2 separate regions of the Mus musculus genome follow, and region 1 is reported to be linked to region 2. Evidence: microRNA targets listed by miRTarBase, many of them from high-throughput screens and not tested one by one. Region 2 holds a microRNA gene; the other region holds the end of a gene's coding sequence. Distances are from middle to middle.

The links. Region 2 holds the annotated microRNA mmu-miR-6920-5p (ACACAAUGGAAAGACUGCUUGU, at 4,403-4,424, opposite strand). A microRNA usually pairs through its seed, bases 2 to 8, with sites in the 3' UTR of a target mRNA and lowers its output. Matches are read on the target gene's strand: a 7mer-m8 pairs with bases 2 to 8, a 7mer-A1 pairs with bases 2 to 7 and ends in A, and an 8mer does both.
Region 1: miRTarBase lists Mrc2 as a target of mmu-miR-6920-5p. The part of its 3' UTR that is shown has no 7-base or 8-base seed match.

What each region holds. Positions count from the first base shown.
Region 1 is chr11:105,348,337-105,358,445 of GRCm38, forward strand. Mrc2 (mannose receptor, C type 2) reads left to right here. Exons shown (of 30, transcript NM_008626.3): 27 at 1-90; 28 at 262-441; 29 at 1,232-1,258; 30 at 1,363-2,809. The coding sequence ends at 1,589. Among named protein-coding and RNA genes, the nearest start is that of Mrc2, 61 kb to the left of the region's middle.
Region 2 is chr11:53,406,626-53,413,625 of GRCm38, reverse strand. Mir6920 (microRNA 6920) reads right to left here and starts at 4,429; the gene lies at 4,359-4,429. Aff4 (AF4/FMR2 family, member 4) reads right to left here. Exons shown (of 21, transcript NM_033565.2): 14 at 6,951-7,000; 15 at 5,683-5,746; 16 at 5,433-5,569; 17 at 5,156-5,227; 18 at 4,265-4,358; 19 at 2,667-2,710; 20 at 1,570-1,790.

The sequences.
Region 1 (10,109 bases), 52 Mb from region 2:
AGATGGAGAATGTGTTTGTCTGGGAGCACCTGCAGACAGCTGAAGCCCAAAGTCGAGGTGCCTGGTTGGGCATGAACTTCAACCCCAAAGGTGGGTGCTCTGTGTACGGGAAGGGAAGGGCTCAGGCTGCAAGAGGGATGCTTACCACTGTCTCCAGGCTTGTGAAAGTACAGCAGTGGATCGTGGTTATCGCCTCCCACCTAGAAACCCCCCTTCCACCTATTCCCATTCCCACACCTTCCCAATGGGTTCCTTCCACAGGAGGCACGCTGGTCTGGCAAGACAACACAGCTGTGAACTATTCTAACTGGGGGCCCCCTGGCCTGGGCCCTAGCATGCTAAGCCACAACAGCTGCTACTGGATCCAGAGCAGCAGCGGACTGTGGCGCCCCGGGGCTTGTACCAACATCACCATGGGAGTTGTCTGCAAGCTCCCTAGAGGTAAGCCAGGATCTCGGTCAACAGCTGGGCCCATAGCTGGACTCACAGCTGGATGTCCAGCTGGGTCTAGGGTTACTTGATATACAGGGGCATCTGCTTTGGCCGGAGGGCATCAAGTACATTAGTTTGCAGCAAGGACTGACGCAGGGCCTCAACTTTCCAAAGTACACATAAGCCCAGAGGACAGCAAGCCCCATCATTCTATAGTGGTTAGGGACAAGGGATGGTCAAGCCCTGGACACTCACGTATTGACTCTGAGGCCTGGGGATATAGTCCATTTGGTAAAGTCACGCAAGCACCAGGATCCGAGTTAAGATTCCCAGCACCCCAATAAAATCCCAACATTGAGTGCCATCACCTGTAACCCTAAGACAGAAAGGGAGACGTGTATTTGTGTTTTATAGGCCCCTGGAGCTCATTCACCAGCCATGAGCTGAATCCATACGTTGTAGGTTCAGTGGTAGACCCTGCCTCAAAACACCGAGGTAGAGAGGCATCAAGGAAGACACAGTGCAATAACCTTGACCTCTGACCTCTACGCACATGCACACTCACAAGTATCTGCTTATATTCACCTATAAGAACACATACATAGACACACACACACCTGTCCCATCAGCTTCCTCATATATAGAACGGAAATAGTAGAAGCCAGGTCCTAGAGTCCTGGGAGGTTCAGTGACTCTGCAAGGTGACATTCACAAAGCAGTTCACAGGCACTTATTTAAATTGTGACTATGATTTCTGTGAGGACTGATTGTGATTCTCTGGCTCTCTCCTCTCCTACAGTGGAAGAGAACAGCTTCTTGCCATCAGGTGAGTGGAGGGAATGAGCGAGCCCCGGCCTGGTTCTTTCGCTGGCTCCTCTGTCCCTGTGGTCATGACTGGGGCCTGATGTGAACTCCCCACCTCCATCTCAGCAGCCCTCCCCGAGAGCCCGGTTGCCCTGGTGGTGGTGCTGACAGCGGTGCTGCTCCTCCTGGCCTTGATGACGGCAGCCCTCATCCTCTACCGGCGCCGACAGAGTGCGGAGCGTGGGTCCTTCGAGGGGGCCCGCTACAGTCGCAGCAGCCACTCTGGCCCCGCAGAGGCCACCGAGAAGAACATTCTGGTGTCTGACATGGAAATGAACGAACAGCAAGAATAGAGCCAAGGGCGTGGTCGGGGTGGAGCCAAAGCGGGGGAGGCAGGGGCCCCAAGGGCGTGGTCGGGGTGGAGCCAGAGCGGGTAAGGCAGGGGCCCCAGGTCAGCAGGCCCCCATCACCCATCAGCCCAGTTGTCTTTGGATGGCAACCCTTGGGAGTTGCTACTGGGTGCCGGGGGCATAGCTTGCCATGGGGTGGGAGTACCCAGCCTACCATAGAGGCTAGGCTGAGACTTGGCAGTGGGTCATGTTCCCCTTTCCCTTGGGCCTGGGATCGTGTCACCTGGACCTGGACCCCATGGCAACTGGAGGCAATATGAGAAGGGACATGAGCTTATTCATGTCTTTTCCTCCCCAGATCCCTGAGCCTAAACCTGCTGACCTGCAGCCTAGGATTCTTTCCTATCTGTAGGCCTGGAAAGCCTGCCCCGTCCCTTGGGGTGGCTCTCTGTCACCTCTCCTACTCGGCTACATCAGCTCTGTCTCCTCACCCTGCCCTCGTGCCTTTTTTTCCACCCAGTGCCTCCTTCTGAGCCATGGCCCTGGGACTTGGGTGATCTCTCTCTCTCTCTCTCTCTCTCTCTCTCTCATTCTCTCTCTCTTTCTCTCTGGGTGGGGGTCAGCTGAAGAGGCTGGCCAAGCATCTGTCACTCCTGTGCCTGCTGGAATGGACCTAGGGTATGGCAGGAGGGAGCCTAGGTGGCTCAGGTGTACAAACCAGGGCACCGGTGTGGTGTCTGCTGGAGTAGAGATGGAACTTCGGAGAGACACCTTATCCACTCACAGGGTGTCATCTCCTGCTGGTCAGGGGAGGGCTCTGTCCTTGAAAGAGTCCCCTGTGGGGACCAAAATAAGTTCCCTAATGTCTCCGGCTTCTGGCTCTGGCTTGGAGAGAGGGAAGATGGTTTGGAGGGGGAGGGGCGCTGGTGAGGCTGTAACCTGGGACAGCACCAGGTGCTACCATCTGGTGTGGCCTAGGAGACCAACTCATGGAACCACTCAGCACCTTTTTCCAGAGGAGAGTCCCAGCCAGGATGGAGAGTGCCAGTCCCCGTGTCCCAGTGCAGGACGATGTGAACAAAAACTCAAAGCGGACCCTCTATTGTAGTTCTTGATTCTCGAAATGTGCTATTATTGTTTGTCTTTTTTTTTTTTTTTTTAAAGAAGGAAAAAGAGAAAAAGAATAGCAAACAAATAAAAACCTTCCAGAGGCTTGAGAAGTCAGCGTTTGTGCCTCCTTCTCTGCAGAGTCTGACCCCCGCAGCCCTGTAGGGACAGATGGCAGCTCTGTCCAGTTGTTTCTGTAGCCTGCCATTTTGCCTCTGAGCTTTTGGCTCTCCTCAGGAGACAAGTCGTCCCTGCCTACAAGCGTGTGAACTTGGGCACCTGAGCTCATTGTCCCATCAGCTTGAATAGGGCGTAGAGGATCTCCTAGGGTTGGGCTGTCGGAAAGATGCTTAAGGATGTGGTGAGTGTCCTTACCAAGTGCCTCTGAGTGCATGCAGTAAGCACTCCATAAATGCTAACTGCTACTCTTATTTCTAAAGTTTTTTTTTATTACATTGTGTGTGTGTGTGTGTGTGTGTGTGTGTGTGTGTGTGTGTGTGTGCGTGTGTGTGTGTAGGGTGAGCAATATGAATACCTGGACCAGAGTGGGAGCAGAGGGTCCCTAATGTCTCAGAGGACCGACAGGGTGACTGCAGGAGTGTGGCTGAGTGGGTGCAGGCCAGGACGCAGTGGCATGGTGGATACTGTAAGGAAGGCTGCCAGTGGGAATGGCTGATCTGATCTTTAACAAGTTCATTGTAACCGCGGTAAGGGACACAGACAATGGATGGGAGATGGGGGAGGGGAAGCAGAGGAAGCCCTTGCAATCATTAAGACCTCAGAAGATGGTGGCTGGTTTGGCCTGGAACACTAGCGGTGGTTTAGAGGCGTTGTGCGTTCTCAGGCTTACCCTGTCCAGGACTTTTAAAATCTTAGTTCTACTTGTTTTGGATAGGCAGTGTGGTCATGTGGTTCAGAGCCTAAAGGAGTGAAAAGAATACATAAAGACACCCATTGAATGTTCTCGCTCCTTCCCTTGCCCATCCACCCTGGACGCTCCTGCCATGATGGTTTTCCGAGTCTCTTTCCAATGTTTGATTCAGGCTGGGGGAAGCCACTAGGAAACATGGGATCTGGATTGCCCAGGGGGACAGCAGATCAGCTGCTTTCTGCCGGGATCAGATGTGCAGGATGAATGGGTGGGACCGCCCAAGACAGAAGAACTCTAGAGAGTCCGTGAGCTGCATTCCTGAGTGTGTGTGTGTGTGTGTGTGTGTGTGTGTGTGTGTGTGGGCTCCTCCAGCTGTCCCTACTCTGCAGCTCTCACAAGACCCATGGGAGATAGGTAGGCCAGGCATTCCGGAAGGGACGGAAGGGACCGTCAATCCAAAGTAAGGTCCTTAATGATTAACCCACTTTACCTTCAAGTGATTTGCTCTCCAAACAGAGGCCAGAGTAGCCCCTTTGTGAGTCGAGTGCTTTGCTACTAGCTGTGGCTCAAGGGTTGCTCTTCAGGCTGCTGGGAGCGGCTCTGAGGGCAGGGATGCCAGTGACCATTGCCCTGAGAGAGAAGGAAGCAGCGTGGTAAAAAGCAGTGTGAGCTCTATTGGGTCATTTGAGTAGTTGAAGGAATGAGGCTCCAAATGTCCAGTGCCACCCATCTATTTGAGAGAGAGACAGAGAGAGAGAGAGAGAGAGAGAGAGAGAGAGAGAGAGAGAGAGCATGTGCATGCCAGCAGCTGACTGGGTAAGCAAGCCTACTGACCCCAGCAGCCCCAGAAATCTACCTATCTGTACCCCCAAGAGTTACGAGCATAGGCAGCTGCTGCTCCTGGGTTTTATGTGGGTGCTGAGGATTCGAACCCAGGCCCTCACCCTTCCAGGGCAAGCATGAATTGACTCCCCAAACCTTGACAAGTTAATTTTTCCTTTTCTTTCTCTGGTGACTGGAGTCTTGCCAGAGGCCACATTCAATCCAAGTTTGTCCTACAGCCTCTTAGGCCTGGGGGCTCCCCAGAGAGTATGTTCTAAGCCTTCCTGCAGAAGAGTTAGGGAATGTTCCCGTAGTTCTCTGAGTGGTCAGGAAGAAGGCTCTGGACCTGGCCACTTGCCCTCTGGCTCCCAGCCAGTTCTAGTTTTAGAACATGTGACAAGGACTTCTATCTTCTGGTGGGGCTCAGTTCAGTTGACCACGAAGCATCTCTTCTGTGTGCCAGGTTCTCTGCGGAGCCTGCTGAGTGGCAGATGGCCTGAGACCTGTCCCAGGCCTGAGCGAAGGGCACTGTCTACCAGGCACGGAGCCCAGCTTTCCCTTGCAGGTCTGAACTGGCCCAGCTTCGAGCACCTGAATATTCAGTGACAGCTCAATGAATCCATGAATGAATGGGAAGACAGGGCAGCTCTCCAGAGAACAGCATTCCCCTATCTCCTATCAAAGCAGAGATGGCCTCCTCCCAGGTACCCTGGCAGAGCAGGCCTGGCCCAGTGGGCAGCTCTCTGAGGCCACAGGGGCAAGGAGCCAGCCAGCCTCACCACATGGCTATCCTGGAACAGAGCCGCCCAAACCTGGTCAAGCTGCCTGGACCAGTGGGGCAGGAGTCTCTGGCAGACCTGAGGTAAAGAACTAGCATCGTGAGGGAAGGCAGAAAGGAGACACTCAGGGAAGTCAGAAGAGGACAAATGAGGGATTGAAGAGGGTCCAGCATGAGAAGAAAGTGCCCAGATCTTCCCGCAGGCCTGACTTTCCTTAGGAGGGTGTTGCCAAGAGGCCTCAGGGAACTGCTGACTTCAGTCTTTGGCTCCCATCAGAATCAGCTCCATTGCATCAAAGGGGAGGGGCTGGCTTTAACCCTTCCTTGTCTGAAAAGCAAGTAGTTACAGACACTAGAAAGAGGTCTGAGCAACTGCCAGGCACCAAGGTTCAAGGCCATGTATTCAGAGAAGCCAAATACTGAATTTATCAGTTGGCTGGTGGCTTTTCTGGGGATCCCAGGCAGTGACACTTTTCTAGTTCCATCCATACTGTCTTACTTCCAGACACCCCTGAGGTCTGTGGGGTGTCTAGCTGTCCATAGGGGAGACACCTGGCCCTCTGTTACTGTGGGGTGTCCAGCTGTGTGTGTGCGTGTGTGTGTGCGTGTGTGTGTAGACACCTGGCCCTCTGTTACTGTAGGGTGTCCAGCTGTGCCAGGCAGGGGGAGACACCTGGCCCTCTGACACTGTAATTCCATCAGCTTCTGCAGATTTGCACTGTCCTCCTCCCTTGGAATTTGAGGAAAGTGCGAGGTGTCCTCCACGATAAGGACAACAAACTGTTATTAGACACAATCTCCCCTTGCTATTCCAGTGGGTTCATTCCACGATCTGCTGCTGCTCTCTATATGCACGGCTGTCCAAGTCCAAGCCCCTTGTATAAAATGCATTATATAAATAGTATCGTATATAGTCTCCATTCCCTCATATATGTTAAATAAATGCTCGAAAACCTGGTCCTCCCTGTTGGTCAGCCCTCTCCTACCACCTCAGTTTCCCTCTCCTGGACTCCACAAGCCATTAAAAACCTTGTTCTCTTCTCGCTTCCTTGGCTTTGTGCTACTGTTGTTAATGCTGTGAGTGTGGGTGTTTTGCCTGTGCATGTGTTTGTGGACCACACACAGGCTTAGTGTCTATGGAGGCCAGAAGTGGGAATTGGATATCGTAGAACTGGAGTTACAGGTGGTTGTGAGGCACTATGTGGGTGCTGGGAATTGAAACCTAGGTCTATTGGGTGAGCAGCCAGGGCTCTTGACTGCTGAGCCCTCTCTGCAGCCCTTCTTCCAGGGGCCTTTGTTGCAAGTGCTGGCTCTGAGACCCCTGAAATCCCTGCCTGGAGCTGATAGCGAATGCTATCTGTTCTCTTTGTCACAGAGCTCACGGGTTGGGTGCATGGCTTTGCTCAATAGACTTAACAGATACTATGAACTTCAGAGGGCTACTTGAGTCACACAACCTCCCAAAGGTAAGCTTCCTCCCAGGCAACACAGGGTTAATAACACAGGTTGATTGTGAGGGCTGCAGCCAGAGTCAAGGGCTCATTTATCCCCATGGTAAGTTCACAGGAAGTGCTCCCTAAGTGGGGCCCACAGGCTCACTTCACCTCCATGTGCGTCTCTCTCTATGGAAACCTCTGTCCAGGTGCCTCCTCCTCTTTATGGGCTCTCATCCTGGTGCATAATTAGCTGATGTGGTATGGCAGTTGTGATGCTGGCCATAGGTTTGGTTTGTGTCTGTGGTTTGGTGGTAGTTGCGCTTGCCTGGGTTCAATTCCCAACAGTGAGAAAGCTTGAGAAGATTCTGGGACCCACCCAGGGCTCTTCAATCTCGCTCTGATGGAGTCGCTGATTCACAGAGGGAAAGATGGCCCCGTACAACCTGCCTCTTTACAAACTTTTTACTGATTCTTTTTGAGTTTCACACCACGCACCCCAATCCCACTCATCTCCCCATCCCCTCATATCTGTGTTCCACCCCTGCAACCTCTGTCCCCAAATAAAAAGCAAAGACATCCCATTCTGGAGGCTGTAGTGTGTCACAGAGGTCATGAGCAGGAGAGCCAACCCCTGCCTTTTGATCAATGATGAAACATGACCCTTTGAATACCAAGAAGTCAAAAGCAGACCTGTGGGTTGCTGGAGCCAGAGGTAGACACGAATTCTCAGTGTCTCTCTCATGGCTGACTTCATTGGAAACAATCCTGGTTATCTGGGTAAATCCTTGAAATCATTTTATATAGAAAAGAACACAGTTTTCAATAAAAGTTTTTTTTAGGCCAGGCAGTGGTGGTGCATGCCTTTAATTCTAGCACTCAGGAGGTAGAGGCAGATCTCTGTGAGTTTGAGGTCAGCCTGGTCTATAGAGCAAGTTCCAGGATAGCCAGGGCTACTGATAGAGAAACCCTGTCTTGAAAAACAAAAAAGCAAAACAAATTTTTTTGATGTGTAATATGTGTATCAGCGTGTATGCCATTGGTTGTGTACCGCGTGCCTGAGTGTGAAACCCAGAAGTCTACACTGGGTGCCTTCCCCTGTTGCTCTCTGCCTTGTTTTTGTAGAATGGGTCTCTTACTGAACCTGGGCTGGCTGAACAAACAAAATTCGTGCTGAGATTACAGACAAGCATGGACAGGCTCAGCTTTTTGTGTGGGTGCCAGGGACCCACACTCAAGTCTTCATGCTTTCACAGTGGGCGCTTTACCCACTGAGCCATCTTCTAGCCCCTCAATGACTTACTGGTGAAAACCTTTGGGTTTCTCAGCCTTCCTAATGCTGAGACCCTTTAATACAGTTCCCCATGTTGTGATGACCCCCAAGCATAACATTATTTCATTGTTACTTCATAGCCGTTGCTACCGTTATGAATTGGAATATAAATATCTGATGTTCAGGATATCAGATATGTGACCCCCAAAGGGGTCGGAAACCATAGGTTGAGACCTGCTGGTCTGGGTGGAGCTGCCTGAACACGTCTTACAGAAGACTGGAGCTGGCAGGATGTTGACATAGCCACTTTGGCCTCCAGTCAGCTCTCGGTAAAACTTTATTTTCATTGGGAGCCGAGATCTTGCTGTGTTATCTAGCCTAGACTTCCTGTGCTCAAGGCTGGGAGTACAGAGAAGCAGGGGGGCTTGTGAAAGACCCTGGGGTTCATCCTCAGGCCAGAACAAAGCAAAATGTTACCTCCTGGGCGTAAAGAATCCTGTCTCCCATTCTGAAGCAGCAGAGACTGTGGGCTTTGAATAATCATCATTATATACATTTATATAATCATGACTTGCAGTGCTAGGGATACCAACCCAGGACCCTGGGCAAGCACTCTACTCACTGAGCTAGATCTTTAGTGCTATAGGACTTCGATCTAATTTTGTTTGAGATGGTCTCATGTAACCCAGGTTGGCTCCAAATTTGTTACATAGTAGAAGGTGGCCTTGAGTTAAAATTTTTTCCCCTCACTATTGTAGGGGTTGGGCATCCATGTATCACAGGCATGTGGAGGTCAGAGGGCAACTTTGTAGAGTCCAGTTCTCAATCTCCACCCTTAGGTTATGTAGTACGTACCTGTCACTGTGATAAAACCAAGGCCACAGAGGAGGACAGAGTTTGTTCCAAGTTACACTTTCATGTTCCAGTCCATCACTGAGGGAAGTCAAGGTAAGAACTCAAGGAACCTAGAGGCCAGAGCTGAAGCAGAGACCGTAGAAGAATTATGCTTACAGCTTTGTTCCCCACAGCTTCCTCAGTCCGAGTTAAGAAATCACCAGACCTACCTACCCAGGGGTGACAAGCTGAGACCTCGCCAGTCATCATTAATCAAGAAAACGCTCGGCCGGGCATGGTGGCGCACGCCTTTAATCCCAGCACTTGGGAGGCAGAGACAGGCGGATTTCTGAGTTCTGGTCTACAAAGTGAGCTCCAGGACAGCCAGAGCTATACAGAGAAACCCTGTCTGGAAAAACAAAACAAAACAAAACAAAACAAAACAAAACAAAACAAAACAAAACAAAACAAAACAAAAAAAACAAAGAAAATGCTCCACAGACATGCTCACAGGCCAAACAGGACAGGGGCAATTCCTTAGTGGAGGCTCCTTCTTCCCTTCTCTTGGAAGTAAATTAACCCGCACAGGTAGGCACTGTTAGCGTCTGTCTAAACTCCACCCCCACAGTTACCTGGCAACAGCCAGGTGTGCCTGACCCACTATAAAAGGGGCTGCTTGCCCCCTCCTCCCTCTCTTGTTCCTTTCTTGTTCTCTTGGGCTCTTGTTCTCTTGCTCTTCCCTTCCCCCTCTCTCCACATGCTTATGGCTGGCCTCCCTCCTCCTCCTCCTCCTCCTCTTTCTTCTTCTTCTTCTTCTTCTTCTTCTTCTTCTTCTTCTTCTTCTTCTTCTTCTTCTTCTTCTTCTTCTCTCTCTCTCTCTCTCTCTCTCTCTCTCTCTCTCTCTCTCTCTCTCTCTCTCTGCCTCTACTACCTTCTTAACTCCCCTCCCCATGCCCTGAATAAACTCTATTCTATACTATACCGTTGTGTGGCTGGCCCCTCAAGGAAGGGATACCTCGGCATGGGCCCGCTGAGACATCCCCTTCCCGCACACCTCACTAACCCTTCTTAAAACATATCCCTTTTTCTTCATCTTTTTTATAAACACATCAAGTACCAGGAATAGAACTTGTGTGGCAAACCCTTTATTCACTGAATTATTTTGTTGGCCCTCATCTTGAACTTCTGATCCTTTTGCTCCTACATCCCCAAATCTTGCTACCATACTCAATTTATACAACTTAGTTTTACAGTTTTGTGTTTATTAAATGTGATGGGTAGTCTGTCTGTATATCTGTGTACCAGATGCATGCCTGGTGCATGCAGAGTCCAGCAGAGAACATCATGTCCTGTGAGTAAATAGTGAGTGTCCTTAACCACTGGGCTATCCCTCAAGCCCCTATAC
Region 2 (7,000 bases):
CATCAGACTGGTTTCCAACTTGCAATGCTTCTGAGACGATAGGCCTACTTCACCTTGCTCAGTCTGATGATTATTTATCTATGTATTTATTTACTTACTTACATACTTATTTATTTGGGTTTTTTGAGATAGGGTTTCTCAATGTAATGGCCTTGGCTATCCTGGAACTTGCTCTTAGACCAGGATGGCCCTGAACTCAGAGACCCACCTGCCTTTGGCCTCCCAAGTTCTGGGACTAAAGGCATGTACTACCACCAACTGGCTTAGGTCTGATAAATCTTAATATCAATATTGGGTATTAATTTCAAACCTGTGGTGGTTTGAAAAACAATGGGTCCTATAAGCCTATAATGAGTGAGTTAGGAGGTGTGGCCTTGTTGGAGGAAGTTGTTCCTATGGCCAGGCTTGGAGGTCTCAGAAGGTCAAGTCAGGCCTAGTGGCATCACTGCTTCTTTCTGTTGCCTACAGAGCCAGATGTAGCACTCTCAGCGACTTCTCCAACACCATGTCTGCTTGTGTGCCACCATGCTTCCTGTCATGATAAATTGCTGAACCTCTGAACTGTAAGCCAGCCCCAATCAAGTGGTTTCATTAGTAAGAGTTGCAGCAGTCATGGTGTCTGTTCACAGCAACAGAATCCTAACACAATACCTTAGGTAACTAGGTATATTTTAATAAGATGAACCACCTAGAGTATTATATCTAATACTAAACTTGAATCTAATCAATAGAAAGGAACTAAGAAAGATAAAATAACAAGTGTAATGGCAGCATGAGGAAGAAATGGTCATATGCAGAATGATATCGTCTATGATTCAGTTTCTTCAAACATCAATGGCATGGCCAAATAAGGGGGAGAGCTACTTACAAAATGCAGCATTTAGACCTTGCTTGAATACTATATAAAACAAATCCAACTCATCTATTTTCTTAATGGTTCTCTCTCTCTTACATTTATCTGTCTGTGGATGTGTCACAGTGTACTTGTGTTGAGTCAGAGGAAAACTGTGGAGTTTCTTCTCACCTTCCACCAAGTAGGTCCTGAGGCTTGAACTCAGGCTTTGTGGTAAGCATCTTTACCTACTGAGTCATCTTGCAGATCCAACTGCTATATTGTTTAAGGTGTATTTGAGACTACAGCAGAAAGTTGATCATAGACAAGGTACTACCCCGTGAGCTACTTCCAATATGCCAGAATAGAGAGGTATCTGTCTTATACCAAGAACTACTTCTAGTTTAGTTTGTGTCAGCATTACCACAAAAGCCGTTTGTCTATGTCCCTTCCCCCACATCAGTTCATCTGTTCCCCATCCTTCACGTTAGGGGGTCAAACCAGGGTCTTATGCATGCTGTGAAAGTAATCTAACAGGGAGGCATGCACAGCCCAAGGGAATTTTAACCACATCTAGTCATAGTTAGTATGCAGCTAAGCAAAGAATGTTATTAGCAAATTGATTATGATTGTCTTTAAACCACAAAATAAAGTAAGTGGTCTCCACATACTTAACTAAATTACAAATGTTTCTTTTAACTATTCTATTATCAAAGTTTATCCAGTGCCCAACAAACCTTTTTGTTCTTTGGAAAGCTGTTCAGCTTGGTCCCAAATTTCTGTGGCATAGAGGAAGTTAGATGTAACCTGGACATAGCTTGCTGCCATCTGGTGGATTTTCTGTGGAATGGTCACTGAAGAACCACTTGCTGAAGCACTACTTCCCCCAGAAGAGTAACTTCCAGAATTGCCTGGTGACAGTTTTGGAGAAACAGGGGAGGGCATCCCAACAGCTTTGCTACACACAAAGAGAAACAGGATACTTATTCACACACACATAGTGAATACTATGAAATTAGCATACTGTAGAATGGAAGTCACCTGGGCTCCTGTCTCAAAAGAACAAATTAAAAAGGACACAGCTCAGTGAGAGAGCACTTGTTACCATGCAAAAGGCTCTGGGTTTTACATCAGCCCTGGGTATGTAGACAAGGGAAAATAAGATGGACTGTCAACTCACATTAAAACAAAGACTCCATAGATGAACTGAGAAAATGAAAAAGTAAATCTAAGTTTGCAGGATGTTTGTTCCCCTTTCGGGTGTAGGCAAGAAGGGGTTAATGTGGAATGGAAGATATATCAAAACCAAGCCACTGTATTCTAGCAATGAAAGGTCTGAGTGAAGTTTAAACCATTGTAACAAACCTAAGTGACATGAAAATCAACCTGAGAAGACTCAAGGTACTGTTAAAAACTTAACTGGGGGGCTAGTGAGATGGCTCAGGGGTAAGGGTGCTTGCCACCAAGCCTGACAACATAAGAACATTTATGAACTTATATGGGAGGAGAGAGAAAGAAAACCAAACCAAAAGCCAACTCAGATGTCTGAGCTGTTGACATATCTCATTTCTAACCTCTCTTAAAATTCTTTATATTTAAAATTATTAAATTGGAAAGAATAATTTAAAAAGAAAGTACTTTTCTAGAGGCAAAACGTAGTAGGAAAGCGCTCCAAAGGCCCTGGATTCAATTCCAAACATCAAAAAAATAAAGTTTAAAACACCTTACTAGAGATTGTAATACTTTAAAATTAGCAACCATTCTGCTGTCCATTTCTACTCTGATCCACAAATAAGCTAATCAAAAATATATCAGAGAACAAAACTGTACCTACCTCCCCAAGCCGGGTGAAGGTGCTTGAGAATTACTGTAAGAATTCTGCATGGGAAAAAAAAAATATTTAACAGCAATATATATAACTTTTAAGGCATTCAGTATCTTCCAAAGTGTTTGGGCTAGGGTTGATCTTGAGAACTTTATTGAAAAAACTGGCTCCATAGGGAGTTTGAGGTCAGCTTAGACTAGATGAGACACTATCACAGAAAAGTAACATGACGGTAGAGATGGCTCAGTGGTTAAGAGCAACTGTTGCTCTTCCAGAGGTTCTGCCTTTAGATCCCAGCACCCAAGCTGGGCAGCTCACTCTACTCCAAGAGATCTGGATCTTCCTCTGGCCTCTGAGAACACGAACACGAACACACACACACACACACACACACACACACACACACACACACACAGAGAGAGAGAGAGAGAGAGAGAGAGAGAGATCTTTATATGTTTTAGTATTTTTTTTATGTACAGGTATTTTGCCTACATGTATATCTGTGTATCACATGCATTCCTGATGCCATCAGAGGCCAGAGGATGTCAGATCCTGTGGAACACACAGAGTTGTAAGTGGCCATGTGAAAACTGGGAATTGAATCTGGGTCTTTTGGAACAGCAGTCAGTGCTCTTAAGCACTAAGCCATTTCGGCAGGCCAATAAATCTTTAAAAACAACAGCAAAGGATGTATGAATGTACAACAGAAAGAAATTACTAAGTGAAAAGCTAGATTGTTCTAGAAGACTTCAAAGACGAGTAGCTGGGCTTGGTGCACATCCTTAATCCCAGCACTTGGAAGACAGAGGCAGGTGGGTCTCTGAGCTCGAGGCTAGCCCAGTCTACAAAGAGAGTTCAGGATAGCCAGGGCTTTTACACAGAGAACCCTGTCTTGAAAAACTGAGGGGGTGGGAGTAGGGTGGGGAAGGAAAAGGGGGGAAAAAACCCAATGAATAACAGAGATAAATGAAAGGAGGAGGAAGAAAAAAAAAGACACATGGGAACAAGTCATATTATATACAAAACCAGACAGAAAAGAAAATACCCATAACCCATGTAGGTTGTATAAAGAGAGGTTTAGACAAGAAATAAGAAACACTTCAGGACCTTATAGGCCAGACCTTGAGCTTATAGGCAACAATGAGTTATGGAGGAGTTTAAAGTCCTAACTACAACAGAATTTGAGGAGAATTATATGGTACTAGCTTGAAATAAAAAGGAAGGTATGTAGGGCACTGCAATAATCCTGTCTCCTGTCTGGGGTATACTTCAGTGGTTGGCACTTGCTTAGAATGCCCTGAGTTCCATCACTAGTAGTGTAAGGGACAAAACAAAACAAGGTAACAGTTTGAAGACAGGTGGTATGAAAAATACAAAGACTATTTTCTAGGACAGATATGGCTACCATTTACGGCTATAAAAATGTAATCCAATATCCGTACTTGAAGGCTTTCCCAAGAAAGTACAAACACATCTGAGAACTTCTAAGCAGTAGTTTGTTCCTCTCTTGGCATGTTGTGCCTAAATATGAGAGTATCTCTGGGACAGGGAGGGAAAGGTTTCCACATTTTGTCTCATAAGCAATGGACTGTGTTATACATACTGACCTTCAGGTGCTCAGTTAGCGTCTTGGAGTACTTGAGAGCGTTCTCCTTCTTCAGTTTGAACAGCCTCAGGTACAATAATGACTGGCATCTCAGGCTAGGCAATGGAAAAGGGCAGTGTATATAGACATGGCGCCATCTACAAGCAGTCTTTCCATTGTGTAGGAATATAGGGCTGGCTTCATTTGAGCAACCATGGCCCAGGGTCAATGTTACCTCTCAAACAAAACCAAGAGGTCAGCTTAATATAGAACACACCATAGGGAAAGAAAAGTAGCTAAGAAACTCTTAATATCCCATTATTACTGACATTCAAAATTAAGACTATACCAACATACTATAATTCAAATATCTTTTAAAAGTTAAAAACTAAAAGTTGGAAACTGAACATTGAGTGAGATGGAATACAGCAACATTCACCCAGCTCACACAGTTCAGTCCACACAATTGTTATTCCTGCTCACAACCCCAGCAAAGGCCACTTTGCTTCCTGCCATGATGATAATGAACTGTACCTCTATAAGTGTAAGCCAGCCCCAACTAAATGTCTTCCTTTATACAAGTTGTCTTGGTCATGGTGTCTCTTCACAGCAATGGAAACCCTAACTAAGACAAGGGGCATGTATAAAAAGAGCTTTAAAAACTGGTCACTTAATTCAATGGAGGGGTCCAGCATTGGTCCTACTCCAGCACATTCATCAAGAGGGCACTGGATTAGAGACAGGAGCTAAAACCTTTCAGTAGGGGTTTGAGCTATTTCCTGTTTGACTGTTAAGGTTTGTGAAGAGGTTGTGGAAGACTGATTCATGGGTAATACTCATAAAAGCACACACAGCACAATTCATCAAGAAACTGCCTGTTTCCCAAGCAAAGGCTAGAAGACAAAACACTTACCAAAGTACTGTGAGTCTCTTGTCTGCAGCTGTAGCATCTGGTGCCAAATAATTCTTTAGTTTCATAGTGTACCTATGAGTTGAGATAAAAAAAGAACAGAATATTTCACCTTGATCTTAGAACTTATATTATAAAAATATCAGAATCAACCCTAAATAAAACACCCACTAAAATCGTCCCTAAGAAAAATGGAACACTAAGTATCTTCTCAGTTTACCATATCAGTATGTCAATAACTAAGTAACAGTAATAACTGATAAAGATAGTCCCCACTTACTTAATGAGCTCCACCGTGTCTGAGTACATAGGGAATGGGGACTTGGATTCCTGAGCGTTCTTCTCTAATGCATTCCCACACTCAATGAAAGACACTACAGCATCAAGGTAGTACACGGCTTTCTCAAACCTGTCAGACTAAAGGAAAACAGTGCTGATTAATGACCCACTGCAAATACACACAACAGAAGGGTACACATGTCAAAACCTGAATATAAGTTTAATGAAGCACATCAGGAATATTTACATACCAAAGCATCTGCATTGTGTTTGAGTTTTTTTGCTTCTTGTAAATAATGGTCTGCTGAATAATTTCTGCAAAAAACAATTTTTTAAATAAATTTTATTTATTTATTTATTTATTTATTTATTTATTATTTATTTATTTTGGTTTTTTTGAGACAGGGTTTCTCTGTATTGCCCTGGCTATCCTGGAACTCACTTTGTAGACCAGGCTGGCCTCGAATTCAGAAATCCACCTACCTCTGCCTCCCGAGTGCTGGGATTAAAGGCGTGCGCCACCAAGCCCAGCTTTTATTTTTATAAATAAAAATGGTCAAAATTTCCTAAGAAAATTACAAAGTTGTTTTAGTGTCTAGTATCTTACAACTTTCACATTCTCAGGAGGTGAATGAGTTTTAAATATTTTACAACAATAATAAATTATTGCCAGGAGTGGTGGCTCACGCCTTTAATTCCAGCACTCGGGAGGCAGAGGCAGGTGGATTTCTGAGTTCGAGGCAAGCCTGGTCTACAAAGTGAGCTCCAGGACAGCCAGAGCTATAAAGAGAAATCCTGTCTTGAAAAACAAACAAACAAACAAAAACAAAAAACAAAAAAACAAAACAATAATAAATTATTAATAAACATTTCAACTTCCCAACAAATGTGTATAGATTAAGAACATAAATTATGGGCTACTATGGCAAATCTTCTACTCAAGTACACAGATCACGTTCCCTAGTGTTAAACATTAGCTTAATCAAGTTTTTTGTTTTGTTTTGTTTTAAAAACCATGAATAAATGTTATGCAGATAGAAGAAGTACCTTCTGACAGAAGGCAAGAAAGAGAAAGTGACATTGCTTCTCTGAGACCACTATTCTCAGCAGTAGTACTCACAGCAGGATTAGCTCTAGGAAGAACATCTTTCCTGTCACTCTGGAGAGTCACTGGTTGTTAAAAGAGTAGCAAGATTAAAGATGCCTTTCATGTTAAAAATCTGAATATTCTGTAGGTCAGATACAAGTATTAATCATATAGGATCTGACATACTTAAGTGAGTTTATTATACACTGACTAGAATTTCTAAAATGCACGGAAGTGTATTTACTCTTTAAAGCTGGTATGGTGGCACATGCCTTTAATCCAGACACTGGGAGGCTAAAGCAAGTCAACCTCTAAGAGTTTGAGGCCAGCCTGGTCTACACAGTGGCTCCAGGCCACTCAAGACTACATAGAAAATCATGTCTCAAAAAAACAAAACAAAACAAAAAACAAAACCCACAAAGTTTATCTTACCTGTCATCAAAGGCAAGCTTTGTTCTCCGAGGCTTCGAAGACTCAGAAGT